Diceros bicornis minor: one gene and its partners. The protein of the gene in region 3 interacts with the protein of the main gene of each other region in a pairwise test. Links are inferred from orthologs where the notes say so. Each region holds a gene or a part of one and is shown on either strand. Other genes may lie near its edges.

Evidence for each region.
Region 1: the proteins of ZBTB9 (region 3) and EHHADH interact in binary tests that used the Homo sapiens proteins (3 or more experiments, as listed by UniProt). The two-hybrid records come from large-scale screens. The link is inferred for Diceros bicornis minor from reciprocal best matches to the Homo sapiens genes ZBTB9 and EHHADH.
Region 2: the proteins of ZBTB9 (region 3) and LASP1 interact in binary tests that used the Homo sapiens proteins (3 or more experiments, as listed by UniProt). The two-hybrid records come from large-scale screens. The link is inferred for Diceros bicornis minor from reciprocal best matches to the Homo sapiens genes ZBTB9 and LASP1.
Region 4: the proteins of ZBTB9 (region 3) and TSR2 interact in binary tests that used the Homo sapiens proteins (3 or more experiments, as listed by UniProt). The two-hybrid records come from large-scale screens. The link is inferred for Diceros bicornis minor from reciprocal best matches to the Homo sapiens genes ZBTB9 and TSR2.

The regions. Positions count from the first base shown.
Region 1 is NC_080754.1:38,515,228-38,522,424, reverse strand, and holds the start of EHHADH (peroxisomal bifunctional enzyme), read right to left. Parts: upstream 3,003-7,197; 5' UTR 2,987-3,002; coding exon 2,913-2,986; intron 1-2,912. UniProt on the Homo sapiens protein: Peroxisomal trifunctional enzyme possessing 2-enoyl-CoA hydratase, 3-hydroxyacyl-CoA dehydrogenase, and delta 3, delta 2-enoyl-CoA isomerase activities. Catalyzes two of the four reactions of the long chain fatty acids peroxisomal beta-oxidation pathway.
Region 2 is NC_080757.1:38,784,809-38,791,846, reverse strand, and holds the start of LASP1 (LIM and SH3 domain protein 1), read right to left. Parts: upstream 3,008-7,038; 5' UTR 2,870-3,007; coding exon 2,801-2,869; intron 1-2,800. UniProt on the Homo sapiens protein: Plays an important role in the regulation of dynamic actin-based, cytoskeletal activities.
Region 3 is NC_080753.1:31,037,402-31,044,711, reverse strand, and holds ZBTB9 (zinc finger and BTB domain-containing protein 9), read left to right. Parts: upstream 1-4,310; 5' UTR 4,311-4,516; intron 4,517-4,702; 5' UTR 4,703-4,781; coding exon 4,782-6,194; 3' UTR 6,195-7,209; downstream 7,210-7,310. Other genes in the region: SYNGAP1 (ras/Rap GTPase-activating protein SynGAP), read left to right, coding at 1,476-1,622. UniProt on the Homo sapiens protein: May be involved in transcriptional regulation.
Region 4 is NC_080781.1:45,615,541-45,623,548, forward strand, and holds the start of TSR2 (pre-rRNA-processing protein TSR2 homolog), read right to left. Parts: upstream 3,006-8,008; 5' UTR 2,991-3,005; coding exon of another isoform or gene 2,981-2,990; coding exon 2,907-2,980; intron 2,744-2,906; coding exon 2,653-2,743; intron 103-2,652; coding exon 1-102. UniProt on the Homo sapiens protein: May be involved in 20S pre-rRNA processing.

The DNA of each region.
Region 1 (7,197 bases), on a different chromosome or scaffold from region 3:
CACCCCTGATGGCCTCATGGTTCAAGTTTGGCACTCACCACTTCAGTGGCCCGGGTTCAGTTCCGGGTCACAGAACCACACCACCGGTCTGTCAGTAGCCATGCTGTGGCAGTGGCTCATACAGAAGAACTAGAACGACTTACAACTAGGATGTACAACCACGTTCTGGGGCTTTGGGGAGGAAAAAAAAAGAAGAAGAAAACAAAAACAAAAGAAGAAGAAAACAAAACAAAAGCAACAAAAGGCACATATTTCCTTCTGGGTAAATGATGGCTGCAAAATTAGCCAAAATGAGCTCAAACAGTGCCACTGAGGAGAAGAGCTTGGCTTTTCCCATTTCAACCAACCCCTACTCTTTTATTTCTTATGTTCTTTCAATTTTGCAAAAATCAAACACAAGAAATAAAGAAAAATGAAGATGGCTGTAACAGACACAGCTTTACTAGATTCAAGCCTCCTGAAAGAGACCACAGCCTAGGAGCAGTGTCAAGGTCACAGGGGTCAAGAAATTATTTTCTCCCCTTAATATTGTCAGGTATGGAGAAGGGGAGTCTGGAATAGATAACATTTCATGAGTGCTGACCAAAACTCTTTAGCTTCTGTGACTGTAGGAGGTCTTTTTTTTTTAGGTTTTTTTTTTAAACCAAAGGTCGTCAAATCAACTTTATGGCTATGACCACCATTTTTTTAAACCAAGAAATACAGAAAAAGAGAAAATAGAATATATCAAATTATATAACATATAAGGACAAGTTTTGTCTCACAAAACTGTTTTCAGTTGTGTATTTGTCTGTGTGTCTTAGGTTGCTACACAAAACAGGGTTTTTGACTGTGTGGATTACAGTTAAAAAAAAGTGGGAGAGCCATTGTTCTGAGAGACAGGCCTAGGAATCAGGCATGCCCTATACTTGTAAAGAGGGTTGGCATTCATCTGAATGGAAGGAAACATGGCTGGCTAAACTAGCAGAGAAGGATTTAAACTATTTGGGCCAAAAAGTATTCAAAAAAGAATGTCTCAGTGAGCTAAGAAGAGATAATTTCCCACAGAAAATTAGAAATAGGAAGGGGAAAAGAAAGAGAAGAAGTAAAGAAAAATATAAAGCACAAAAAAAAGGGAACCTGTTAAACTTGATAAACATGCTGGGATGTACAGCTCTACCTAAAATATAAGTTCAAAAGAAGATAGATGAGAAAGGGCAGAAAAGTATTTATGCCCAAGTGGAGAAAATCTTGATGAAGCTGAAACGAATCCTGGGCAGCAGGGCCTGTTGGTAGGGGCTTATAACAGGCCTCTGACTAATAAAAATCATGATAGCTAACATCTGTTAAATGCCTGTTTATAATCTCCAACACATTTATTTATGTATTTTTATTGTATAAGTTGCAGTTGTACAGCTTCATAATTCAACATCTGCATACACTACAAAGTGATCACCACCGCAAGTCCAGTCACCATCCATCACCATACAGTTGACCCCCTTCAGCCATTTCGCCCATCCTCCTCCAACACATTTAAACCTCACAACAACTTTATCAGGTACATACTAACATTTCTCCAGGGGGCAAGCGGGCAGGTTAAATACTTGAAATATTTAAAATAGCTATGAGAAAATATTCCTTGTTACAGGTATTACACTGTGGAACATTTTTCCCCCAAATTCTTGATGGGCATGGTTTCCCATTGTGAGCAGAGGCTGAGGCAGACAGTCCTAGTATCTAGTCATTCTAATTAGAATACAGACAAGTCTAAAATTGATATGTAATCATATTGCTTATGGGTTTTTTTGGTCAAAACCAAAATAATGGCTATTTTGCCTTTTTCTGAGAATGGCAAGTAGGCAGACATATCATCGTTGTGTGATTTTACTCTTGCATATTTTTTGTATTATTAAATGTAATAATTCATGTCAAAGATAAGAATTATAATATTAATACTAATGATATAATCAAATCTGATGACAGTAGGAAAAAAATTCAGTTAAAATGAGCAGGTCTCCTCGTTCAGTCCCTTTTTGCTCCAGCAGCAGGCAATAAGAATTTTGAGCAAAGGTCTTTCTCTCCATACTTTATATATTCTTCATAAATTCTGCTAATCCTACTCCCTAGGGATGGGGTGGCTCTCTACTAGGCTGATGTATCACTATACTTTTTTCAGAGATATGAAAGAACCAAACCTATGCTAATTTTCAAAAAAGCAGCATTAATCTCCCTTTTAAAAGTACTGCTTAAGTGCACTGCACAAATCTGGGTTAGAGAGTTTAACAAGGAAGGTGCTCCACGATAAAATAAAAGAAGATAAACCGCACAGCAGTTTTTCAGAAAATGTTATTTAATAGGCTTACTCTGACTTGGATCTTCCAAGCACTGAAGCACTAAGGCCCCGAGGTTTAGACAGATCAAGAGATAGAACTGTGCTTTTCTGGGCCAGGACACAATTCTCCTTTACTTCACTGAGTTGGCATTAATGGAGACCTTAATTTATTTTTAAGAATGTGAAGTCACTTTATTGTTGGATTCCTAGAGCTTTTAGTTACACATTGTAAGGGTGGCCTGGACTCCAAGTTGGCAAGGGAGAGATCAAGGTCTAGCCAGCACTGCGCTTAGACCTTTGGAATAGAAAGTACGGGTGAGAAGTCAAAGTTGCAAGGCATGGACAGACCCGGTTCAAGGCCAGCTCCCCAACTTTGTGGCCCTCTGTCCACCTCTCAGCCTCGGTTTCTTACCAGTGAAACCGGGATGCGAGTTCTCTGCGAACATGAACCAAGCTAACCTACGTAAAAGGCATATGCCGTTGTTCAACCTGTGTTAGTGCCTCTCTCCGTTTAAACCAGCAGAGGAGAGTCAAAGCCACCACAGCGGGCAGACGGCTAAGGCCCTGCTGTCCCGGGGCTGGAGGCCACCGAGCCCGTTACCTGATCGCGTTGACCGGCGGGTTTCGGAGGCGGATCAGCGCCAGGCAGTTCTGCAGCCGCGTATACTCAGCCATGTCTCCTCTGTCGCCGAGGTCGCCTCCGCCTCCCGCCCCAGGGCAATGCTCCTTTTCTCGGCGCGCCGGGCCGGCCCCGCGAGGAGGGGCGCCCGCTGGGCCAATGCGAGCCCGGCGCCACCTCCCGCCGCCCCGCCGCTCCCGGGCACCGACGCCCATCCTCCGACCCAGCCCTCCCCCTTTTCCGGACCCCAGCCCCGCGCTCTGCAAACCCTTGTCTTCCGTTTCTCTTTCTTGGCTCCCATCCTGCTCCCGTTACAAAGTAGATCAGGGAAGACGATGGAAAACGGGTGGAATTGCCAGGAAGTTGAGGTTTGCAACCCCCTGGCCCAGGGGGCTGGCTTCTCTGAACGAGTTCTAGGTTCACTAAGTTGGTGGAGCTGTCCTCATCACAGATTTCATCCTCATGATCCTTCTTAACAGGGTCAGATATCTGGGGTCCTGACAATTATGTGATATGACACACACCTGGAACACATAAAATACACACATCATGCATTTCACCTAAATAGGTATGGTACTGACATCAACCAAATTTTTACAGAACAGTCCTACAGTAACCTAATGAAACCTGTGAGTTTCTTGTCTGCCTAATCCTATTTTTTTCTTCTTCTGCCATTCCTAAGGATTGTGAATCCTAACATTTCATTCATGAATTGAGTACCTATTATGTGCTAAGGTAGGCAAGAGACTAAAGATAAATAAGGCCTAGCCCCTTCACTCCAAAAGTTCAGGCTGGGACAAGGTTTTTCTAGATGTAATTGGCCCCTAGTGGTCTCCACAGCCATCAAGTGGCCAGAAGGCAGTTTGGAAGTTTCAGAGAAAAAAAACAATGGAGTGATTTTGTTCACTGATGTTTCACAAATTTTAGCAGTGATTAAAGGCTATTTTCATAGATATTCTTTTACCTCTCGAAACTGTCGGGAGAGAGGGAGAATCTCCCTCTGCCCTTTTCCTTAAGGTTCTTATGGCTGGCCAAATAATCAACAAGATAGGTTAGCAGCAGAAAATAATACCAAGTTTAATAACATGTATACATGGGAGAAACTCAAAAATGAGCAACTCGTCCCTCTGTCTAAGCTGCTTGCTTAAGTATTGCAGCTAAAGGTGAGGAACGTGTTGGGGGTGGGTAGTGGTCTGGGACTTCAGAGGCCAGGAAGACAATTCTTTTCAGGGTCATCTATAGATAATGTGGTCAGGGAGAGACAGAGTTTTTGATAAAAGAGGCTTGGTGCCTTTCCTATTGTAACTTCTATCCTACATTATCTTTACAGCAATCATGATAATAACTCCTTCCTGAAACAGATCTTTTGTTTTAAATTCTTTAGGCAGTTTGGGAGGGGAAACTCAAATATTCTTCCTGAATTCTCTGAGTCCTTATTGTCTTCAGCTCGAAATAATCCGCATACCAGAGTGGTGCCTCCTGGGGTAGCTTGCCCTGAGCACCATCAGAAATAAAAAGAGATTGTGGGGCCGGCCTGGGGGAGTAGTGGTTAAGTTCACGTGCTCTGCTTCGGCAGCCTAGGGTTCACAGGTTCGGATCCCCGGCATGGACATACGCACCACTCATCAAGCCATGCTGTGGCGGTGTCCCATATACAAAATAGAGGAAGATGGGCACAGATGTTAGTTCAGGGACGATCTTCCTCAGCAAAAAAAGGAAGATTGGCAGGGGATGTTAGCTCAGGGCCGATCTTCCTCACCAAAAAAAAAAAAAGAGGTCTGACTTCTAGGAAAATACCAATTGCCCTGAAGCCCTGGAAACAAATAGCAGTCAGAACCCACCCAATCCATCAAGGACCACCTATCAAGAACAGCCCTGACTCTGACAGCCAGCCAATCACACACAGCCCAGTACGCATGTCTCTGAGCACCAACATCAACAACCAGCTTCTTACAGGTGATAGCAATCTCTCATGACTCTGAAAATTTGCCAGTCCGTGAATGCCACCGTACCCAAAAACTCAATGTAAGATCAGCAGTCTGCTCTGCTTGTAGAGACCGTGCATGACGAACACAGCTTTCCCTTACTATAGGAAGCAATACATTCAGTTTTGTCTTCTTATTTCAGATACTGGTCTCTGGGGGAACAACTCTGTGGCATCCTAGTGACTTTGAACATCTCCACAAAGTCTATGTAGGCAAGGCTAACAGCTCTGAAAGGCCTGAAATTCCTCCTGGAGCAAGGGGAGATCAGCGTGGCGTGGAAACGTTTTGAGGCAGTTTCTCATCTCTCTCGTGGAGGAGTTGACCACAGGTCATTTCTCACCTATCTCCCTAGTTTTAGTAAAAGGCAGAACTTTCTGCCTTGCGCCCCCGCTCCAACCTTAGGTACAGCTGCAAATTTCTGTGAAAATCTATATAACTGCTTGACAGTAGTTGAGTGTTGGCTCCTCCACAGGGCAGGGACTAGGGTAAGCAAGCGAGGCACCTAGTGGGCAAAATTTAAGAAGGCACTCACTCTCAGTTTCCTACAGGTGCTGACCCAGCCCTGCTCCTCACCAACAGAGGGGCCCAAGGTTCCTGTGATCCGTCATCTAGCCCCTCCTGTTTGGTGTCATCCTGTGGAACTACAGACACAGAGAGCTGACACCATGCTGATCTTTCTTTTGCCGTGTAGATAATAAACTAAATCTATTTTGGCTCCTTATGGACTGAATCTATGGAGCTGTGGCAAAGCCAACTTGGCAGGTGCCGCCATGCTGCTGCTTGACCACGTGACAGTCTCTTTGTCATTGCGACGAACTGTCGTCTTCTCATCTAATGTGTCTCAATAAGCGCAACTTAACAGGATGCCATTCCTCCCGGCTAATGTACTTCCACATCATTTGCATGTTACTGCTTTTGCTTGTTAACTATGTCATTTTCATTGTTGTCGTTGTGTTGCAATTCACACAAATAGATCAGTTGATCAGAAGTGGCTCATTATTGTTGAAAAGAAAAATAAAAGAATGTAAATATAGAACTTTTGTGTGCCAGAACATCAAAATATGTGCTCACAATAAGAACAGAGAACAGAGATGACTATCTAAACGTGGTGATGTGTTGGGAAACTTCATTCGATAATGGCAGATAGCCATCATAGCTGACTTCTCTGGTAAACCAATCAGGTTTTTCTGGAGCAAATGAAAAATATTGCTTACCTGCTGGAGGGATAAAATCTCTCACACGTTCTTTTCCATGTCCTTTCCCCTTTCACTGTGGGATACAAATGGGCACAAGGCCCAGAGAAGGATACAGCCACAGACAGAAGAAATGACTTCCCAAATGATTTTGTGGAGGAGAACTGCCCTGCTGGCTAGAACCAACATGGACTATTACAGGAGAAAGAAAGAAATTTGGGTCTGTTTGTTAAAGAATTTTAACCTGTCCTCACTAATACAGTGAAGAAATGGGCAATGAGAACACTCTTCCACAGTGAAGTTGGCTGACATTTGAGGAGAAAAGTTGCTCATATAAGTGTTTGAGATAAGAGACGGGACATAATTTCTTCACTATACCAAGAATATCAATAATGACAATCTCTATAATTTCAAGTGGCTTGCTCAAGTGTCGAGCCTTGGAGATACAATACACACACACACACACACACGTATATTCAGTATCTTAATGATGAAGATAAGCCAGCAGATAATCCTAAAGCGGACCCAACTGTGGCAAAAATGACTCAGTCACATCTTGATAATCTTCACTGGTTGAAATGTTGGAGATTAATGATGTATTATTGAGCATATTTAAAGATCATGCCCATATGCTGCAACCAAATCTGGGCTGAATGCAGCCAAAAATCAAACTGAGAATCCATTCACTGCTATCTCCCATGTTTCAACCTCTCAGCTTTTCAGTAAGCTCTGCTTATCACTTTAGATTTTCAAATAGTTTTTTCACTATATGTGTCATCTCTGTCAACTTCTGGACTGAAAAACATGCATGAAATGTCCCTTCTCCACAGCAGAAGCACCTTTTATGACATCTCTGGCATTCTCCAGCATCCAATTTCATTTTGTGTTGCAAGAGCAGTTAGGCTATAGTTCACCTTTATACTTTCCCAGCTCTTTCTCCTAATTTCCCGCATATCATTTTACTGAAAAGAGACTATTTTGTTTGCTAATGATAATCTTTTTCAGCTTTTCTGACAAATTAGCCCTATTTAGAAAGAGGCTACATAGACATAAATTTGAGAGATGTCCTAGGTTAGTCTAATATTCCTT
Region 2 (7,038 bases), on a different chromosome or scaffold from region 3:
ATGTAGAGGACATTCTGAGACAGCCTCTCTCCCTTCCCAAAGGCCCTGCAGCAGCCCTGCTGGGGGCTTGGCACAGAGTAGGGGCTCAATAAATATTTGCCAAATGAATGAGGGAATGAGGTCACCCTGTTTCTCCCCCAACTCTAATCCCAGAGTCCTCTAGGGAAGCAAATCTCAACCTCCTTCCCCCAACACCGTCATCAGCAATACATATTTATTCAGCATGCAGAGCACACTGGGTAATGCAGGTTGGGGGCAGGGTGGCCATCAGAGGTGACATGGCCTTTACCCACCTAAGCCTTTGGGAGATAAGGCTCAGGGAGGAGAAAAGGCTAACACCAAGGACACAGCTTGTGCTCTGGGTCACATGGTGAGCGGGCTACAGGCTGTAGGGAAATTGTAGTGAAATGAGTGAGTCTAATTTGACTCTCTCTTAATGTAAACGGGAAGCCTTGGGGACTTGTATGCCCCCGCCCCCCCAGGTCTCAGTCCTCCAGACACCAGTTCCCGGTCCAGGTGCCTGTCCTTACTGCCTGGAGGAGGTTGGAACCAATAGTCTGATATCTGGATATTCCAGGCCTCCTGCTCAGGGCAGGGGTCAAGGTCTTCCCAGGGCCAACTCCTGTAGGGAGAGCTCTAAAAAGAAGGAGGAACCACCAACTCCCACTTCCCAGGGCAACCCCCACTGAATGTCCTCTTCCAGCTAGGACAAGAGAACAACTGGGGGAGGGCACCTTGCAGGATCCCTGCCCCCCTCCCCTCTGACACGCAGCACCAAAGGTCCTTACAAGGGGAGCCAGGTGTGGACAGAGTATCCCAGGAAGGTAGGAAGGCACAGGCTATGCCACACCCACTTCTGGGCACTTAGGTAGGCACTTTAGTGCACTCCCCCACCTCCAAGGAAGTGACATCACCATACCCAGATGGCGAATACTGAGGCCTAGGGCCATTCATAAAGCTGGGGGAGCAGACCTGGAACTAGGACAAAGTCTCCCAACTCCTGGGCTAGCAATGCCTCCATCATATATTGTTCCCGCCTTATCTGGGTGAAAGTGCCCACAGCCTCTTCCCAACTCATGACTGTGGAGAAGAAGGTGGGCACAGGGAACTCAAGATGCAGAAGTCAAAATCCCTACCACCAGAGAAGGGCAAAAAACCCAGTGTGCAAGGACAGATAGTTCTTCAGCTAGCGCCTCCAAGCTGAAGTCCTGCCCTCCAGAGGCTGGCACGGTCATTGGGAAGGTCAGCACCCACATCCCTTGTGTCCACAATATGGCCCTCCTCTCCTCCAACCCAGCCAAGCCCAAGAGAGACAGCAGTGAAACAGCGGCAGCCCCATATGCCTCCTTCCTTCAAGACCAAGTTCAAATGTATTTCAGAACCTTAGAACACCACCCCCTCACCCTGACTCAGAGGCCAAAGGTCACTAAGGAAGCTCCAAAACCAAGGGGGAGGGGAGAGACAAAAAGTATCCAATGAACTGTCCTTTCCAAAACAAAACCTGGCTCCAGGTGGGCAGTGAACTTGGCCCCAGGGCTCTGCACCCCTCTTCCATCCCATGCCCCCTACCCCTGCCAGTTCAGATGCAAAGGAGGGAATATCTGGACTTAGAGCCAGCTTTGGGAGGTGGGAGAAAGGCACGACGAGGAGGGGGACAATCACAGAGGCCTCTCCTCCAGACTGGGGGGGAGATGCAGAGGGGAGGCAGATTCGCCTCAGGATCTTAGGGAGCTTACAAGAGGACTGCATCCTACCCCAAACTGCTGGAAACACCCAGTTCTAACTCTCCGCCCCCCTCCAAAAGTATAATGGCAACCAGATGAACGAGTCCAGCGTGGGGGGGGGGGGGCGACGCGTAAGGGCCCCCAGGGTACAGTGAATTTCAAAAATCCACCCTCCCCTCCCCCCAAACACCTCCCCCTTTTCTTGGCTTCCCCTGAACTCGGCCAATACCACCCTCCATTGGGGAAACCTGCTTTAAAAAGTTAGCTCTTTGTTCCACAAGCCGGTCTCAGGCTCTGAGCACAATTTCAGGAGATCTCTGCGAAGCACCCCCCACCCACCCTACTCCAGCACCCGACCCCGCCCCGCTCCAGCTGGGCGGCCGGGCACCGGGAGTTGGCTTCTAATCTGAGGTGGGGGCTGGGAAGCTATGGAGGAGGTCGGCTAGTCCATTAACCGATGAACCACTAAGGGAGCTGCAGGTCGTCCAAAAAAAGGGGTCTCGCAGTGGGGCTCGGGTCCTTATCTGAAGCTCAGTTCACCAGTTGCAACGCTTGCCGGCTGATAGCCCCCGCCCCCCAGTCTCCAGGCCAGGAAGCCGGGCCATTCAGGGCCACAGCAGACGGTTTCGCTCGGTCCCCCAACCTCTGCCCCGCCCCCCGCCGCCCCCTCCCCCAGCGCCCGGCGCTTCCGCCTACTTGGCGCTCGGCGCGGCGGGGAGAGGGAGCGGCCGTCTCTTCTCACTCTCCCGGCCCTACGGGGGCGGGACTGCACCCCTAACCTTCCCCCACCCCCCACCCCGGGGCCTGGCTTCCCACTCCTCTTCCGTCCTCCCAACCCCGGGGCAGAGCCCACTCTTCTCCAGTAGTGGCTGCCTGCCACGCGTGGACTCCTTGCCTCGCTTCGGATCTCCTGGTTTCCAGACTGGGGTCTGTCCCCACACCCCATGACACCGCCCTCCTTCCCTCCTCCCGGGATCGCGAGGATAAGGCGGCATAGACCCGGCCCCTCTCTCCTCCTCCAATCTGGAACCCTGCTCAGGGATTGCAAAAACGCGTCTCCCGGTCCCGGGGCTCACCTTATCCAGACAGTTCACCTTCTCCGTGGGGTACACGATCTTGCCGCACCGGGCGCAGTTGGGATTCATGGCTCCAGGAAAGGCTGGGGCGGGGACGCCCGAGCTCGCGCGCGTTCTCTTTCCCCGGAGCGAGCTGGCGGGAGGCGGCCGCGCCTGCAACTACACAGGCGGCGACGACCGCGGCTGGAGCTAGGGAACTGGCCTCCGCCTCCGCCCTCCTTCCCCTAATAAACACAGCGGGGAGGAGGGGCTGCACCGGGGCGGGGACGCGCCGCGGGCGCGGGCGCGGGCAGGGGCGCGCGCGGCGAGGCGCGCTCCCCGGGCGACGTGGGGCTGCGCGGGGGCGGATTCCGGGGAGGGCTGCGGGGCTGGGGGTGCGCGCCTAGGTGCGTTGGAGGGCCCCTGCGCCCGCACGCTTTCAAGCAGAAGGTGACTTGGAGAGGGGCGCCCGGAAGCCAGGCGCAGGCAGCCGGCTCTGCCCAGGGCCCTTCCCGCTCTGGAGGTGGCGTGGAGCCGGTCTGGCCGCCCATCTGGGTCCCCTGGGCTGCGGGAGGCGGGCAAACCCTACACACCCGTCGAGGGTGGGGCTGGAACCCTCCAGAACCCCCGACCAGATTCGAGGACTTTCCTTTGTACCCGTCGGTAACTAGTGTGAACCTGCGGACCGAACGGGAACCCCCTGCCCCGCCCCTCAGCTGCCCTTCCCCCCACATCCTTTCCCACATTTGTAGGGCGGAACCGTCCCTCCCGCCTGTACTCAGCGCCTCGCAGCCCGGGATACTTCTTTCTTTCCCGCGCCTCCGCCGTGCTGCTTTCCCGGGGTTCCCCGGATCCTTCTTTCCGCTTGGCCTCGTTTCCTCCTTCATTCTTTTCTCCTTACCCTTACACCTCACCCTCAGTGTAGCAGTGTCTCAACACCCAAAAGAGCCGTCTCCAGGTGCAGGAGCGGCGAGGGGGTATAGCTCAGTGGTAGAGCATTTGACTGCAGATCAAGAGGTCCCCGGTTCAAATCCGGGTGCCCCCTTTGTAGTTTTTCCTTTCTTCTATACCTAGCATTTTAACAATAGCTCCTAGGTTAAAAGAAAACAGAAAGACAATTTTTAAAAGAATCCCTTCCTCATTTTCCAACTTTAGCGGAAGCTTTCGATTTTGCTTTATACCCAGCAGAAGGGGGAGGGGCGGGTACGCGCACAAATCAGGTACAAAAGCTGCCCGTCGCCATTACCTGCGCCAGAGGTGTCAGGATTTCTGCGGCCACCGCCAGCAGCCTCAGATGTGTGAGGCAGTTCGAGGCGCCGGGTTCAAGGGACAAAATGACTCCCCCAAGTTGGCGTTCCGTTTCCAACGGGGTTGGGAGTGGGTCAAGAGAGGGAAACCCACAGACACAGCCTTTCTCCAACTTCAACTTTCTTTATTACCGGTGACATGGACGTGCTGTGTTCACCCTTCCCTATTGCTCATGACACAGGCGGAGTGAAAGCACTTCGAGAACGTTAAAATGGCCAATGCACACATATAAGCTCATTTTAATTTACAAAATTAAAGTTAGATCCTGATGCAAACTGATATAAACTAATGTAGTGGTTCTCAAACTTGAGCGTGCATCAGAATTACCTGGGGAACTTGTGAAAACACCCCCAGTTTCTGATTCTGTAGGCCTGGAGTGGGACTCTGAGAATTTTGCATTTCTAACAAATTCCCAGGTGACACTGATGCTGCTGGTCAGGGGACCACTCTTGGAGAACCACTGAACTAGTAATACACGCCCATCCAGTTTCATAACCTCAAGGTGGGGACAGATATCTGTTGGCTGCGTGACTGACAGTGTCACTGTTGGACGAGAGGAAAACGGTAAGTGTGAAGGGAGCAAAGGCGTCCGCCTCAACGGTTTTGCCCAAAAAAAGGAAAAATAAAGGAGAAAGGGAAAGGCATGCCGCCTAGGTCAGGGGGCCGCTGCGATATTTTAAACCCGGAATCTGGTTGTGTCATCCCTCGGCGCCCCAGGGGAATACTCGAGCGCGTTTTTTCCAAACCACGGCTCCCGTTACTGTGAAATGCATCGTGAGGCTGGACATGGAGATTGAGCAGAGCTGCTGTCCGGTGCAAAGCCCAGACCCGAGAAATAACCAGCTTTTCACTCCTTTCCTGGACACCAGGCCTTCAACTTATACTGCAGGTTTAGGTTTATCAGGCCAAAGCCCTGCCGTCGAGCTAGTATAAAGAAGAAAGCTGTCCACTTTTCACCGTCTTTTATCTGTGCTGTGTACTGTTACAAACTTCCCGTCTATATAAATCTTCTGAACTTTTGTTCTAGTCTTCCCGGTCAGAGTATGAACTGGGCAAAATAATATTCCCCTGCCCCGGCACTCCATTTTTACCCAAAAAGAAGCTGTAATTAACATTAAATCAATAGATCTGGAACTCTTGGAGATAGGAATACGGTAGTTCGGCACCTTCTCTCTACCTATTGAGAGCGCAGGTGGGCTTTTCGCCAGAGTCGGGGTGTACAGTTTAGACGCAGTCAAGTGATCCCTGTGCAAACTCTGGGGTGTTGCTCTCTACTTCTCAGGTACCGGGAACATTTGAATGAGGAAAACTGGGCGGGTGGAAGAGACAAGATCTTCCCGGGAGTTTTGGATTCAGAACCCGCAGACATCCGGGTTATTCTGAGTTACACCTGAGCGGATCTTCCACAGAGTTTTGGATTCGGAATCCGCAGACATTCTGGTTACTCTGGGTTATGCGAAAGTGGTTGGGAAAAACGTAAAGGTAGGAGAGGGGGCACCCGGATTTGAACCGGGGACCTCTTGATCTGCAGTCAAATGCTCTACCACTGAGCTATACCCCCTCTGGTGGCAAGGTTTTGGCAAATTCATTTTACAGCAATCTTAAATTTTTTTCATACTGAAAATTGTTCAAAATCAGTCCCTTCTTGCTAGATGATACTGAATTTACTAATAAGAAGGAATAAAAGAAAAAGACCAACTGAAGATATGGCATTTTGAAAACGTGAATTTGGGTACAAATCTGCCTTTTCTTGGCTCAACTCTTTATCCAAATCCCACCCATCTCTTTACCCTAAGAAGTCAGAGAACAACCTCTTGCACAACTGAATGGAGAGAATCCTTTCTCCTGGTCTCTGTAAAAAGAATACAAACACCAGCTAAAAAGATATCTCTACTGAGAGACCTTCCCTGGCTATACTCTCTAGTGTGGCTATACTCTCTCTTTTTATGGAGTAACTACTATGTGCCCTACTTTAGGTGCAGAACATACTTTCAGTAGAAAGACACAACGGTTCTCACTCTCACTGACTTTGAAATCTAGTGAAGACACACTAGAAACAAATGCACAAACGAATAAACAGGGAAATGCCCAGTAGTGATACCAGAGATGTTTAGAATTAAAAAAAGATGATGTGTTAGAAAGGTTCAGGGGGGCTATTTCAGGTTGGATAACCATGGAAGACCTTTCTGTGCAGGAGATTTTACAGTTAAGACCTGAATGACATGAAAGAAACAGCCATTTGGCCATCTGTGGGGCGGGGGTTGGGGGGGCGGGGGGGGGCATTCCAGGTAGAGGAAATGGTTACTGCAAAGGCCCCAGGGACAGAATGGCTGGAAGAAGGTAGACAAGGAGAGAGAGATTCAAGAGAGCTGGAGCCAAGTAGCCAGGGCTGAAAAGGGCCTTGTAGGCCAAGGTAAGGAGGTTGGATTTTATTCTAAATGGATGAAAAGCCAACCATTGGACAGTTTGAAGCAGAGGGATTTGAAATCATCACCCACACTGCTGTGGGGAAGATTTTATAGGGAGTCAAGAATACATACACACAATGGAGTATTATTCAGCCTTAAAAAAGAAGGAAATCTTGCAATATGCAACAACATGGGATATTATGCTAAGTGAAATAAGCCAATCATAGAAGGACAAATACGGCATGATTCCACTTATATGAGCTATCTAAAGCCATCAAACTCATAGAAGCAGAGAGTAGAATGGTGGGTGCCAGGGATGAGGGGAGAGAAATGGGGAGTTGCTAATCAATGGGATCAAGTTTCACTTGTGGAAGATGAATAAGTTCTAGAGATCTGCTATACAGCATTGTGCCTCTAGTTAACAATATTGTATTGTATACTTAAAAATCTGTTAAGGGGCTGGCCTGGTGGCACAAGCAGTTAAGTGCGCGCGCTCCACTGCGGCGGCCCGGGGTTCGTCGGTTCGGATCCTGGGCGTGCACC
Region 3 (7,310 bases):
TTGTGTAAAGTGTGTGATATGCTCAGCAAGCTAAGAGGGCAGCTTTGCTTAAGGCTGGGGTTTTGGTGACCTTCTGAGAGGTGAGCTCTTTGATTTGGAAGGGAGAGCTGATTTAGGAGCCTCTACTTGGAATGTGTTTGTTTCCTTTAGAGATATGGTCAGACATAACTGGGTTGCCAGGCCTAAATGCCCTGTGGCCCAGGAAATAAATTTGGATACTTTTCTAAACCACTTTTAGGTACTGGTCCCTCTGCAACTCAGCCATTAATTTAAAAATTAATTTTGTGCCTCTATTTTAAAAAGTCAAGTGAGGGACCAGAAGTGTAGTACAGATGGCTTTCTTCTCTCCCAACAGAGGAACAGAAGCCAGAGCTGAGGGCAGGAGCCAGGAGTTGGTCCAGGAGCGGCAGGGGGTGATAGAATAGGACCAGGGTGGGAGTAAGGTTTGGTACCCCTCACTCTCTAAGTGGGAGCCCACGGAGAGGGACTGAAAGGAACGCGGGGGTGGAAAGGAATGAAGTGTTTCTGCTTCCTGGGGATGCAGAGATTGGGGCATGCTGTGTCTCTGCAGAAGCTCCTAGTCGTTTCTGCCTCTGCTGTTAGCATGAGCGAGAGGCAGCCCTCCCACAGTATTTTTACCTTCCCACATCACTTCCCTGAATCCCCTTCCTTTCCCCCACCCAGTACAGTTAAACCTCTCTAATTTGGAATGTTATGTTTGAGAAGATGGCCACTCTGAATAAGTGACAAAACTGAATGACTGTGTCTATTTAATGAAATGCATGTCTTCAAAATATATACAGTAAGTAGAACTCAATGAACAAGGCTTTTCCACTTGAGGCCCTCAGGGAGCATGCGTTAATGAATACACAGGCCTGAAAAGTCTGTTTTCTGGTATAGGTTAAATATTCTCTCCCACAGGCACATTTCCACTATTAATTTGCTTAGCACACCCTTTCTTCACAGATAAAGGAAAACTCAAGCCCAGTTTTTGTTCAAATTATGAAAAAATTCCAAATCCATGGGGGTTTGGATTAATGAGGTTTTGCTGTACTGCCTCCCCTTGTTCCCTCAACACAAAGCTCCTACCTCGGATTGGGGGTGGGCTGGGAGGGGGTTCCAAGAGGAGGAGGGTGGGCTGGGCGCAGGAAGATAACAAGGGTTAGGTTGGGGGTGAGGTGGGAACTTGATTCTTTTGAACTGGTTTCCTGGTGTGAGTGACTCCCTGGGTTGAAGGCCCCTGTTAGGAGTCTGGGGTGAGATTCTCTTCTCTCTGATCCCAGAAGATGAGGATCTTTCTACGGCAGGTGAGAAAGAAAATAGGAAGGTGGGGGAGGGGGTGGATCTGGGGGGAGGGGGTGGACACAATTTATGGAGTGGGCTGGCTATGGGGGAGACCACTGCTAGGGGGCTGGCACCCAGGCCCCCGCGAAGCGTCTCAATAAGTCCGCGCTCTCCTCTTTGGTGTCTTGCAGGAGAGGCAGCTTCCCCCCTTGGGTCCAACAAACCCGCGTGTGACGCTGGCCCCACCTTGGAACGGCCTGGCCCCCCCAGCCCCGCCCCCCCCACCCCGGCTGCAGATCACCGAGAACGGCGAGTTCCGAAACACCGCAGACCACTAGCCCACCCAGCATCACAGACCTTGTTCTCCCTCCCCATGCACCCCACCCTGGAACAGCACCAACCACCAGGAATGGACGTCGCCGAGGGACAGCGGGATTGCCTCCCTGAATGCCTCCTTGGGGGGCACCAATCCCCCACCCCCACTGCACCATTTCCAGGAGGGAGAACGGGGACCCTTAGCTGCCCCCTTTTCTTCCTGTTGGGGTGCTGCCCCGTGACCCCTAAGGACCCTTGCCCCAGGACACCACCTACCCCACACAGACCCCTTCACTCCGGGGTGCTATCCCCATCCTCTGCCTCATCGTTCCCCTGAGCACTGGGGGACAGACCCTCGCCCCCACCCTGGGGGTGTGGCACCTCCAAACTTTCAACTTCAGGGTGATTTTTTTAGCAGTAACCAGAGCTGACAATCTAACTCCCCTCCACCGCCCCATTTTGGCCTCCCCCTGTCCCCGTTGTTATGGGGAGGGGACCCCAGGTGAGGGGGCCCTATTACCCCTTGATTTCTCAGGAGCGTCTGGGGGGGCTCAGCACGCACAAACTCCTTCTCCTCTACCACTCTTAAATTTACTCCCTTCCCACCCAGAACCCAGATGGGGTGGAGGGGCCACCGGGGCAGGGAGGGGGCGGCAAGGGGGGAATGGGAGTTATCTCCCGTTCCTCCCACACCTGATCTGCTCTTGGCTGGTCCCAGAGCGGGGTGAGGGGGCTTATGCCCCCCCCTCCCCCAGTGTGTTGGGTGGGGTGGAATTGAGGTTAGGGTGAAGGGTTAGGGTTTAGGAGGGTGTGTATGTTGGGGAGGACAGACTAGTTGATCTGCCCTCCCCTGACACACACAGTCCCCCCTGCCCCTCCCCTCTCTCTTCTTGGTCTCTACTCCCAGGGGGAGAGGGGAACTTACTCTAGGAAAAGCCATGTCTCTCTCCCCCAGGGTGGGGGGACCTGTGTTGGAGAAGGGGTGTTGGGGGCCCCCTTCCATGACTCTGTCCCCCGGGGGGAGGTAGGACAGGGCTGGGCTTCCCTCTCATCCTCCCCCCTCCTCAATCTCCCTCCACCTCCCTCCCTCCCGCCAGCTCCACAATTTTTCGGTGTTTCTCTGTATATAGCTCTCTGGCGGGATAGGGGAGGTAGGATGGATGGGGTTTGGGGTGGGTACGTCATGGGAGGGGAAAAGCCCCTCCTTGGCACCCCCTCTTCCCTGACTGCTGTCCCCTACCCAGCCTTGCCCCCTCATCCCTTCTTGCGTTTGGTATTGAGACTCTTCCCAGACTCCACCCTTCTTTCTTTTGTATGGACAGTTCCCCTTCAGTCCCATCCCCCTACACACATACACCCAGCCGGGGCCAAATTTATACTTATATAAAAGTTGTAAATATGTGATATTTTATCCCTGTGCCCTGTCCTTGCTTTCCCAACCTCAGACCCTACCCCTGGACCCCTTTTCCTCCTCTCTTCTTTGGCTGTTGTAATTATCTGGGGTTTGTACTGTACATATCCGGGGTGTGTGTGTGTGGGCTGGGGGCAACCCCTCTGTACAGAGCTTCCTGGCCCCCTCCCCTCCACGCTTCCCTCTTCACCCACCCCCCCTAAGGGTAGGGAGATGCTCTTCCTACCTGTTTTATTTTGTTTTCTCGTTCTCCCTCCCCACCCCACCCCACTCCCACCCTTCTCTTGTCCCGCACCATTGCCCCTTTTTCTCCACTCCCAGCCCCATTTCCTTTTTTTCTGGAGTGTGTGGTGAAACAGAAAAATCATGTTTAATAAACGGAGATTGTTCTTTTATCGCTGTGCTGACATTCCTAGGCTGGGACCTCCAGATGGACCAGCAGGGTGATAGGATCTGCTTTTTGAGAGGAAGCTGATAGCCTGGGAGAAACTGTATATCCCTGTGTGATGCTATAGTCTCCCCCTAGAATCTAATCTCCCCTAGAATCACTCTCCCACCCAGCCAGGAGATTCATTCTGTTTTAGAACAGGGCTTTTGCACTGGCCAAACGCGCCCGCTCCAGCTCTGCCTTCACCACTGCTCCACTTAACCCCAAGGAGTAAAAGGGTCTAGGAACAAGCAGCGGCATCTGATAAAAGAATCGATGTATATGTCTACATGTATCATTTTAAAAAAAAAATTACCTAGAAATAAGGTTTGTTTAATTGCTGGTTAAAATGCTCCCGTGCGGAATGGAGGAAAGAACTTGGTTCCTTAGCAAATCTGGGTTCCAATCGTAGGAGGCCCACCGCTTGCCAGCCTCGGTTTCGCCCGAGGAAACAGGATGGCAGCACCTACCTCGCGGGGCGGGGGGTGGGCACAGGGTGATGTGGACAACGCCTAGCCCACACAGTAGGTGCCCATTTAATCTCGCCCTCTCAGCACCGACCGGGGGGCGGGCGCTACGTTTAATCGCCGGAATGACTCCCGGCCACCCCGTCCGCCCTGCCTGTGCTCTCCGGGGTCGCACTTCGCCCCTCCCGCCGGGGCGACCACCCGACCCCCCGCCGCGGGGGCCGGCGGCCTCCAGCCAGCACCGCCTTCTCGCCGGCGCAACCAATCAACATGAGACTTGTAGGCCTCCGCTCCCCTCCATTGGCTGCGGCCCCAGCTCCGCCCGCCGCGCCCGGCGACGGCGTCCGGCGAGGAGGCGGCGGCTTCCGGCCCGGGACGGCGCCGTGGCTGCCGAGGCGCCACGGTCTCGCCGCGTGCCTACCCGCGGGGGAGTGGCAGCGGGGAGGGCCGGCTGGCCGGCGCTCGCGCTCTCCCGGTGGGCGCGGCTTCCCGGGAGCCGGGCTCTTTAGGCGCCGTGAGGTTGAACGGGGCGGCGGGCAGGGCCGGCGAGGTCAGGCTCGTGGCTGAAGCACCGCCTCATCCTCCTCCGCCGTCCTGGAAGTGAAAACCCCGGTTGGTGTCTTGTCGCGGGTGGTGGTTTTTGTTTTCTCGGTGGAGGCGTGCGCGGGACTGATCGGCAGAAACCGCCGCTGACTGACAAGTTTCCAGCTGTCGGGGGTAGGGGAGGCGGGGGTAGTGTGAGGAGACACGGTTCCCGTTAGCCAGAGCTTCTGTGACCCCCATCTCTTTCCTCCACAGCCTTCATCCCACGTGGGGCCGGCCCCAGCCCCTCATCTCCTGCTCTCGATCCTCTGGGGTCTCTCTTTCCCAGGAGGCCATGGATGCCTCGACGCCTTTGCCTCCCGTACCCCCCTCCCCGAGCTGCAACCCAGCCCCACGGACGATCCAGATCGAGTTCCCTCAGCACAGCTCGTTGCTGCTGGAAGCCCTGAACCGCCACAGGCTGGAGGGAAAGTTCTGTGATGTGTCGCTCCTAGTGCAGGGCCGGGAACTTAGGGCTCACAAAGCAGTGCTGGCCGCTGCCTCTCCTTACTTCCATGACAAACTTCTTCTGGGGGACGCGCCGCGCCTCACTCTGCCCAGCGTCATTGAGGCTGATGCTTTCGAGGGGCTGCTCCAGCTCATTTATTCAGGGCGCCTGCGCCTGCCGCTGGACGCTCTCCCTGCCCACCTCCTTGTGGCCAGTGGCCTCCAGATGTGGCAAGTCGTAGATCAGTGCTCAGAGATTCTTAGAGAACTCGAAACCTCAGGTGGGATTTCAACCCGTGGGTCGACCGCTTGCCACGCGCCTCTTGCCACCACATCCTCTGCAGGAGCCTGGTGCATTCGCTCTTCCCCTTTCCAGACCCCAGTGCCGTCTTCCGCTTCTACCGAGAGTCCTGTTGGAGGGGATGAGAGTGAACTGGGAGATGTGTTACAGATTCAAGTTGAGGAAGAGGAGGAGGAGGAAGAAGAAGAAGAGGAGGAGGAGGAGGAGGACCAGGGCTCAGCAGCCCCCTCTCAGACTCCTCAACCTCAGAGAGTGTCAGGGGGTTTTCCCCGCCCTCATGGATCCCACCCACTGCCCCTTTCCACTGCTCCCCGCAGACTTCCAGATGGTGAGAGTGCACCCCTTGAGCCTCCTGCCCCTCATACTGCACTGCCCCCCAAAATCTTTTACATTAAGCAGGAACCCTTTGAGCCTAAGGAGGAGATACCAGGAGGTGGAACTCAGTCTGGAGGAGCAAAGGAGGAGACCACAGTATTTGCTGGAGGGGACGCAGAAGGGAATGGGGGGCTAGGGTTCTTGCTGCCCTCAGGAGCAGGGGCAACATCTGGAGGAGGGAGTTCATCTTGGAAACCAGTGGATCTTCACGGGAATGAAATCCTGTCAGGAGGTGGGGGACCTGGGGGAGCGGGGCAGGCCGTGCACGGGCCTGTGAAGCTAGGAGGGGCACCCCCTGCAGATGGAAAACGCTTTGGTTGCTTGTGTGGGAAGCGGTTTGCAGTGAAGCCAAAGCGTGACCGGCACATCATGCTGACCTTCAGCCTTCGGCCCTTTGGCTGTGGCATCTGCAACAAGCGCTTCAAGCTGAAGCACCATCTGACAGAGCACATGAAGACCCATGCCGGAGCCCTGCACGCGTGTCCCCACTGTGGCCGTCGGTTCCGAGTTCATGCCTGTTTCCTTCGCCACCGGGACCTCTGCAAGGGCCAGGGCTGGGCCACTGCTCACTGGACTTACAAGTGACTGTGGAGGCCAAAACTAACTTCCAGTACACGAGAGCCACTGCTGCTGACGGATCCTTACCCTCGCTACCATGGCACCCCAATCCTGGATCTTGTAATCATGCCAAGAGGATAGATGCATTATGGACCTCTTGCTCTTGGGTGTGGGCCTCAACCTAGCAGATTTGGAAACTCAGATTTCTTGTCTCACCCCCGGTTTTTGCTAACAATCCTACAAGAAAGTGGTTTACAGGCCATAAGTAAATTGATCGCTTGCCCATAATAGACCTTTTCCTACAGGAAACCAGATTTCAGATTAGAAGTTTTATTTGATGAGAGAAGAGTTAGAACAAAAAGACATAGTGATAAATGTTTCATTCGAACTCCATGAGATGGTCAAGGAGCTAGTCTCCATCTAGGGATTTGTTTGGTTCAGAGTTCTAGTAATTCAGAGACTAAGCTCTAAGTTTTTCCACTCCCTCATCATTGCTGAAATAATGTGAGCAGAGTTCTCTTTATGTACTTTTTTTGTTGTATCTTTCTAGAAGCCCCTCAGATCATAACTTGCTTTCTCACCAGTAGATACCTTCCCAACACCTTTATTTTTTATGTTGTAGTTGAGCACTTTAACAAATTGAGCATTCCACATGACATTCCTAGAATCCTCTTTAATAGAGGGTTTTCCCTCAACAGCTTGTGCCTCTTGTCTACCTTTGACCACCACTGATCACTCATATATTGATCACAGTTACTGGAATATGACCAGTGAACTCAGGAGATGGCAACTGACCTAAAATGCTCTCAGGGTAGCACCACTGCTCTGAACAAGTGGCCGTGGTCAGAGGGACTCAGGGCTGAGACAGGGCATGCTGAAGGCTGAAGAGTAACTGTGCGGTGGGACCACACTGCCTCCCTTTCCATCCCCACCTACACAGGACAGCCCCTTGGTTGAGAGGTAGAAGGGTAGATATTGGAATGGGGAGATTATCACAGGTTACTTAATTTCTTAAAATAAACTGTCCTGAAATCCAAGTTGACAGTGGACTGATGAGTAATTTATGTGGGAGGGACAACATGAGAACAGAATTGCAAAGACTTGGATGTGATCTGTATGCAGCTGGGTTATGTTGGGGGGAGA
Region 4 (8,008 bases), on a different chromosome or scaffold from region 3:
TCCATCCTCCACAACTGTATCAAACTCATTCGTCATGAGCTCCCCGAGGAAGTCCTCCACCTCATCTAGCTCCAAGTCAGCTGAGTAGGAAAGGACAGGGCCCTATGGTCAAAGACCAGCCAACTTCATCACTCCTGACCACTACTCTTCAGTACCTACTTGGTGGGTCCACATCTGATTGGTGGGTAAAGGTCCAAACAGTGGGCCTTTTATTTGCTGAAGTGCTCTGCATTCCAAGTTTTAACATGATTTAAAAAAAAAAAAACAACACTAAATATAAATACCTGATTTCCAATTTCCTGCATCCTACTAAGCTCCCTATTCCCACAGCATCCCAGCCACACTCACCCTCTTTCATCTGGCCTATTTTAACCAGCTTCCTCTCTATGTGACCTTGAGCAAGTTACATATTCATCTCTGCCTCAGTTTCTCCTCTGCCAAGTGGGGCTAATAGTGGCCTCCTTGAAGGTCTGTTATAAGGAGTCATCCAAACAATGCATAGCACAGGGGAGACCCATAATCCATGTTAATTCCCATCACTCAAGAGCTGAAGTTTTTGAAGTGTAGAGACCCTTCACAACTGTGGCTCCACTGATACAGGAGGCCACAAACCAATGGGATCGGTAAGAAGAAATGGATGTAAGTACCTGCAATGATGAAATCATCATAGCCTTGACACCAACATCCTATTGTGTGACTTTGGCTGAGCCTTCCAGCCTTCCTCTCTAGGCTTCAGTTACCTTATGCTCTACTTTTTCTGAATTACAGAATAACTCAAGAAAGTCTTCCACAAAGTTCCTCTCTCTCTCTCCCCCCTCTGGGAGAGCTCATTCACCCCCTTGGCTTTCCCTACCACTCTAACCTAATATCCCCCAAATCTGTCTCCAACCCAAACTACTCTCCCCCTGTTTCACAGGTGCCTCAGAACCTCCATATCCAAAGCCAGACTCATGACCTAACCCTCCAAACCTACTTCTCACTCTCCAGGTTTCCTTTATTCCATGAAAGACACCTAATCCACCTGATGATACAAACCAGAAACCTGCCTACTTTTCCCTCCCCCTCTACAGCCAAACAATCTCCAAAGCCCTAATCCACTCCTTCTTTTCCATGGCTTTTGCCACTGCCCTAGTTCAGGCCTCATCATTTTCCAGACAGAAACAGCCTTCTCATCGGTCTTTTCCTCTCCAGTCTATGCTCCATACTGATTACTTTTTCAACTTTCTAGCCAGCAAATCCCATCCTATTACTCACCTTAGAACCCACCCATGAATTTTTATCACCTACTGCAGTGTTTCACATTCTGCTTTTGAGAAATAACTGTCCTGTTGGGTTTAAAGGGAAGGTATCCACAGAAAGCTAATGTGAAACAAAGGCAAACAGCTTTCTTTTTAGTGATTTTTATCCTTATCCAAACCTTTAACTCAAGTAGGAGCTGAAGAAAAGAGCTTTTCTTACATAACTTGACCGGAGAAGTTTTTTCTTCACCGAACATCTAATGGAACTAGTCTTCCATAGCATACATTTTGGCAAACGCTGGCCTAAACGACAAAATCAAAGGCACATAAGGCCTTCCAACGTCTTACCCTTTTCCGGGGGCCTCTCCACCCTGCAGCTTCATTCTCTATCATTCCTCCCCTCCACAAACCCACAAGCATACACTCACCATTACTCCAATACTGAGCTCCCTGCCAATTTTCCAAATGTCACACATAATCTCCTCATAGCACAGAACTTAAAGTATTTGAGTGTTGCTCTCTCTGCCTCCTCCACCTAGTTAACTTCTTCTCATCCCTTAAGACTCAGCCCAATCACCACCTCCCCTAACAATTTCCAAAAGAAATCTCCTTCCTACTCTCATGTTACCCAAGCACGCTGAGCTCCTCTTTATTAGAACATATATCACACCGTGTGTACATGCCTACTTACTTATCTGGATCCCTCACTAGATGGTTAAACTTGCTTGAAAGAAAGGACTCTGCCTAATATCATCTCCAAGCTAAAAAACTGAATGAAGAATTTTGTAAACATCATAGCACGCAAAATGCCCTCTGCAGGACCCCTTATTCTTATATGACCCCCAAGACACAGCAAAGGTGTAGATCTTTGCTGTGCAAATAGCCAAACGTGGTTACTGAGCACTTAAAATGTGGCTAGGCCAAATTGAGATGTGCTAAAACTATAAAATACTCACCAGATTTTTAAAACGCAATGCTAAAAAAGGATGTAAAATATCTTAATAACATTATATTGATTAAATGTTGAAATATTTTGGATATATCGAGTTAAATAACATTAATTTCATCTGCTTTTTACTTTACAAAAGTGGCTGCTGAAAATTTTTAAATTACATGATGTGACTCGCATTATATTCCTATTGGACACCAATGGGGTGGATACTTTTCTACCCATTTTAGGAATTAGAAAACTGAGTCTCAGGAAGGTAAAATGACTTGTCCGGAGTTATACCATGAGTCAACGGCACAGCCCGTAAGGCATCCGAACTCAGGATTCTGACTAAAGCCTCTATTCACTCCACCTCGCCCTCAGGTCCCAGGCGACAATTGCTCAAGAGGAAGTGCGGGCTCCCCAGGACCGGCCTCCTCCCCACACTCCCACACAGACAGGTCGCAGCCCCTCATATTCACTCACCATTGCGGAAAAAGTACTCCTCCACTGCAACCCCCAGCCACTCAGCCTTCTCCTGGCTGTGCACGCCCCCAAAGCCATTCTCCACAGCGATCTACAAACACAGGTCAAAGCCCACAACGTCAGCCTGGGAGCCGGCTTGGGGTGGCGTAGGGGTTCGCCGCTTACGCCGCCCAGCCAAACCTCAGGCGCCTCGCCCGGCCAACTCCTGTTCTGCCCCAGGCCCTAACCTTTATCCTGGCCGCGGCTCCACTCACCTGCAAGGCCGGCCAGGCCTCCAGCGCCGCGCGGACGCCAGCCCGGAAGAGCGCTCTGGAGTCTTCTCCAGCATCCGCCATCATGCGGCCGCAGACCACGTGACGCCCAGGCAGCCCAATCCCTACTGAGTACGGCCCAGGCAGAATGAGTCGGAAGCCGAGCCTGAGAACGCAGATTCACCTTTCCACTGACTGGGCAGCAAGACTAGAGCAATAGAAAAGTCTGTCAGAGCAATCGATGACACCACCCCAGTTAGGCACATTTAACAATTAAATCAAAGGAGTGGAGGAAGCTGGGGTCATGGGTTCTGGACCTGTGGAAACTGTGCGGAAAAGATGTGAGGAACTTATTAAAGATACAGATTCCGGGGGCCGGCCCCGTGGCATAGCAGTTAAGTGTGCGGACTCCGCTGCTGGCGGCCCGGGTTCCGATCCCGGGCGCGCACCAAGGCAGCGCTTGTCAAGCCATGCTGTGGCGGCGTCCCATATAAAGTGGAGGAAGATGGGCACGGATGTTAGCCCAGGGCCAGTCTTCCTCAGCAAAAAAAAAAAAAAAGAGGAGGTTTGGCATGGATGTTAGCTCAGGGCTGATGTTCCTCACAAAAGAAAAAAATACAGATTCGACTCTGGGACAGAGGAATCAACCTCAGAGAGCATAACCTAAAATTCTGCATTTCAAAAAAGCATCCTAACATCTATAGAACAATGCACCTGACAACAGCAGAATACATAATTTTCTTAAGTGCACATGGAACATGAACAGACCATATACTGTGTCATAAAGCAGGCTGCAAACAGTTAAAAAGACTGAAGTCATACAAAGTATGTTCTCTGGCAACAATGGAGTGAAATTAGAAATCAACAACAGAGAGAAATTTATGACATTCAAAATATGTGGAAATGAACACATTTCTAAATAACAAATGGGTCAAAGAAAAAAATCACAAGAGAAATTAGAAAACATCTTGAAATGAACGAAAAGGAAGGCACAGCACACCAAAATTTATGAGATGCAGCTAAAGCAATGCTTAAAGGGAATTTTATAGCTACAAACACATATTAAAAAAGAAGAAAGATCTCATATTAATAACCTAACCTCCACCAAAGCAAGCAGAAGGAAGGAAATAATAAAGATTGGGGAGGAAATAAATGGAATAGAAAACAGGAAAACAATACAGACCAAAGCAATCCTGAGAAAAAGAACAAAGTTGGAGCTATCACACTCCCTCACTTCAAAATATACTAAAAAGCTGTATACATTGTACTGCCAGAAAAATAGACACAAATCAATGGAACAGAATTGAGAGCCCAGAAATAAACCCAAACATTTAGGGACAGCAAATTTTTGAGAAAGGAGCAAAGAACATACAATGGAGAAAGGAAAGTCTCTTCAATAAATGGTGCTGGGAAAACTGGACAGTCACATGCAAGAGAATGAAAGTAGACTATTTTCTTACACCATACACAAAAATTAACTCAAAATGGATTAAAGACTTGAATCTAAGACCTGAAACCATAAAAATCCCAGAAGAAAGCATAGGCAAGTACACTCTTTGACATCAGTCTTAGCAGGAGGTTTTTGATTTTTTGGGTTGTTTGTTTTTTGTGAGTAAGATTAGCCCTGAACTAACATCTGTTGCCAATCCTCCTCTTTTTGCTGAGGAAGATGGGCACTGGGATAACATCCATGCCCATCTTCCTCTACTTCATTTGGGACGCCACCACAGCATGGCTTGACAGGCGGTGCATCAGTCCGCACCGGGGATCCGAACCTGAGAACGCTGGGGGCCACCGAAGCGGAGCACATTAACTTAACCACTATGCCACCAGGCCGGCCACTTGCAGGATGTTTTTGAATATCATGTTCTCTGAGGCAAGGGAAACAAAAGAAAAAATAAACAAAGGAGACTACATCAAACTAAAAAGCTTCTGTGCAGCAAAGGAACCCATGAACAAAGTGAAAAAACAACCCACCAACTGGGAGAAAATATTTGCAAATTATATATCTGATAAGGGGTTAATATCCAAAATATATAAAGAATTCATACAACTCAAGAACAAAAAAAGAACAACTCGATCAAAAAAATGGGCAGAGGATCTGAACAGACATTTTTCCAAAGAAGATATACAGATGGCCAACAGGCACATGAAAAAATATTCAACATCACAGTTGTTAGGGAAATGCAAATAAAAACTACAATGACATATCACCTCATACCCATTCAGAATGGCTATTATTAAAAAGACAAGAAATAACAAGTGTTGAAGAAGATGTGGAGAAAAAGGAACCCTGTACACTGCTGGTGGGAATATAAATTGGTGTAGCCACTGTGAAAAACAGTATACAGACTTCTCAAAAAATTAAAAATAGAAATACTATATGATCCAAATATTCCACTTCTGGGTATTTATCCAAAGAACAAGAAAACACTAATTTGAAAAGCTATGCATACCCCTATGTTCATTGTGGCATTATTCACAATAGCCAACATGTGGAAGCAATCCAAGTGCCCATCAATGGATAAGATGTGCTGTGTGTGTGTGTATATATATACATATATATATATATATATATATATATATGTATAATGGAATACTACTGAGCCATAAAAAAGACAAAATCATGCCATTTGCAACAACATGGACAGACATTGAGGGTATTATGCTAAATGAAATGTCAGATGAGAAAGACAATTACCATATGACTTCATTCATATCTATAAGTTAAACAAACACTCCATATGGAGAACAGATTGGTGGTTATCCAAGGGGAAGGGGTGGGGGGGAGGGTGAAAGGGGTAAAGGGTCACATGTGTACAGTGACAGATGGAAGCTAGACTTTTTATGGTGAACACGATGCAGTCTATACAGAAGCCAAAATACAACAATGGGCACCTGAAATTTACATAAGGTTATAAACCAGTGTGACCTCAATAAAATAAATAAGGGAAAAAAAACAATAGAGAAAATCAGTGCAACCAAAAATCAGTTATTTGAAAAGATCAACAAAATTGACAAACTTTTAGCTAGATCAACTAAGTAAAAAAGAGAGAAGAACAATTACCGAAATCACGAACGAAAGAGGTGACATCACTACCAACCAGTCAAAAAAGACCACATATCGTATGAAACCATTTATATGAAATGTACAGAATAGGAAAATCTATAGAGACAGAAAATAGATTAATGGCTGCCCAGGGCTTGGGGAGGGGGGAAATGGGGTGTGACTCGTAATGGGTACAGAGTTTCTTTTTTTTTCAATTATTTTTATTGACAGTTTATTTATAGTTTATAGCATTCTGTAATTTCAGGTGTATATTATTATTTATCAATTTTGGTATAGAGTGCATCGTTACCCCTCTGGTAACCACTAATCTATTCTCTTTATTCATGTGTTTGTTTATCTTACACATATGAGTGAAATCATGCAGTATTTGTCTTTCTCTGTCTAGCTTATTTTGCTTAACATCATACACTCAAGGTCCATCCATGTTGTTACAAATAGGATGATTTTGTCTTCTTTTATGGCTGAGTACTATTCCATTGTATATATACCATATCTTCTTTATCCATTCATCTGTTGATGGGCACTTGTGTTACTTCCATGTCTGGGGTATTGTGAATAATGCCCCAATGAACATAGGAGTGCGCGTATCTTTTCAAATTAGTGTTTTCTTGTTCTTTGGATAAATACCCAATAGTGGGATAGCTGGATCATATGGTATTTCTATTTTTAATTTTTTGAGAAATCTCCATACTGTTTTCCATAGTGGCTGCACTAGTTTGTAATACCACCAGCAGTGTATGAGGGTTCCCTATTCTCCACACCCTCTCCAAAATTTGTTATTTTTTGTCTGGGTAATTATAGCCATTCTATCAGGTTTAAGGTGATATGTCATTGTGGTTATGATTTGCATTTCCCTAATAATTAGTAATGTTGAGCATCATTTCATGTGCCTTTTGGCCATCTGTATATCTTCTTTAAATTAATCCCTTGTCAGATATATGATTTGCAAGTATTTTCTCCCAGTTGGTGGGTTGTCTTTTCGTTTTGTGCATGGTTTCCTTTGCCTTGCAGAAGCCCTTTAGTCTGATGTAGTCCCATTTGTTTATTTTTCCTTTGTTTCCCATGCCTGAGTAGACAGGGTATTCGAAAAGATGCTGCTAAGACTGATGTCAAAGAGTGTACTGCCTATATTTTCTTCTAAGAGTTTTAGGGTTTCAGGTCTTACACTCAAGTCTTTAATCCATTTTGAGTTAAATTTTGTGTATGGTGTAAGATAATGGTCTATTTTCATTCTTTTGTATGTGGTTGTCCAGTTTTCCCAACACCATTTATTGAAGAGACTTTCCTTTCTCAATTGTATGTTCTTGTCTCCTTTATCAAAGATTAGCTGTCCATAGATGTGTGGTTTTATTTCTGGGCTTTAAATTCTGTTCCATTGATCTGTGTGTCTGTTTTTGTGGCAGTACCATGCTGTTTTGATTACTATAGCTTTGCAGTATATTTTAAAGTCAGGGATTGTGATGCCTCCAGCTTTGTTCTTTTTTCTCAGGATTGCTTTAGCTATTCAGGGTCTTTTGTTGTTCCATATGAATTTTAGGATTCTTTGGTCTATTTCCATGAAAACTGTCATTGGGATACTGATAGGGATTGCATTGAATCTGTAGATTGCTTTAGGTAATATGGACATTTTAACTATGTTTATTCTTCCAATCCATGTGAGTGGAATATCTTTCCATTTCTTTATGTCATCTTCAATTTCTTTCAATAATGTCTTATAGTTTTCAGTGTATAGGTTTTCACCTCATTGGTTAAATTTATTCCTAGATATTTTATTCTTTTTGTTGAGATTGTAAACAGGATTGTATTCTTGACTTCTCTTTCTGCAAGTTCGTTATTAGTGTATAGAGATGCGACTGATTTTTGTATGTTGATTTTGTACCCTGCAACTTTGCTATAGTTGCTGATTATTTCTTATAGTTTTCTGGTGGATTCTTTAGGGTATTCTATATATAATATCATGTCATCCGTAAACAGCAAGATTTTCACTTCTTCCTTTCCAATTTAGATACCTTTTGTTTCTTTTTATTGCCTAATT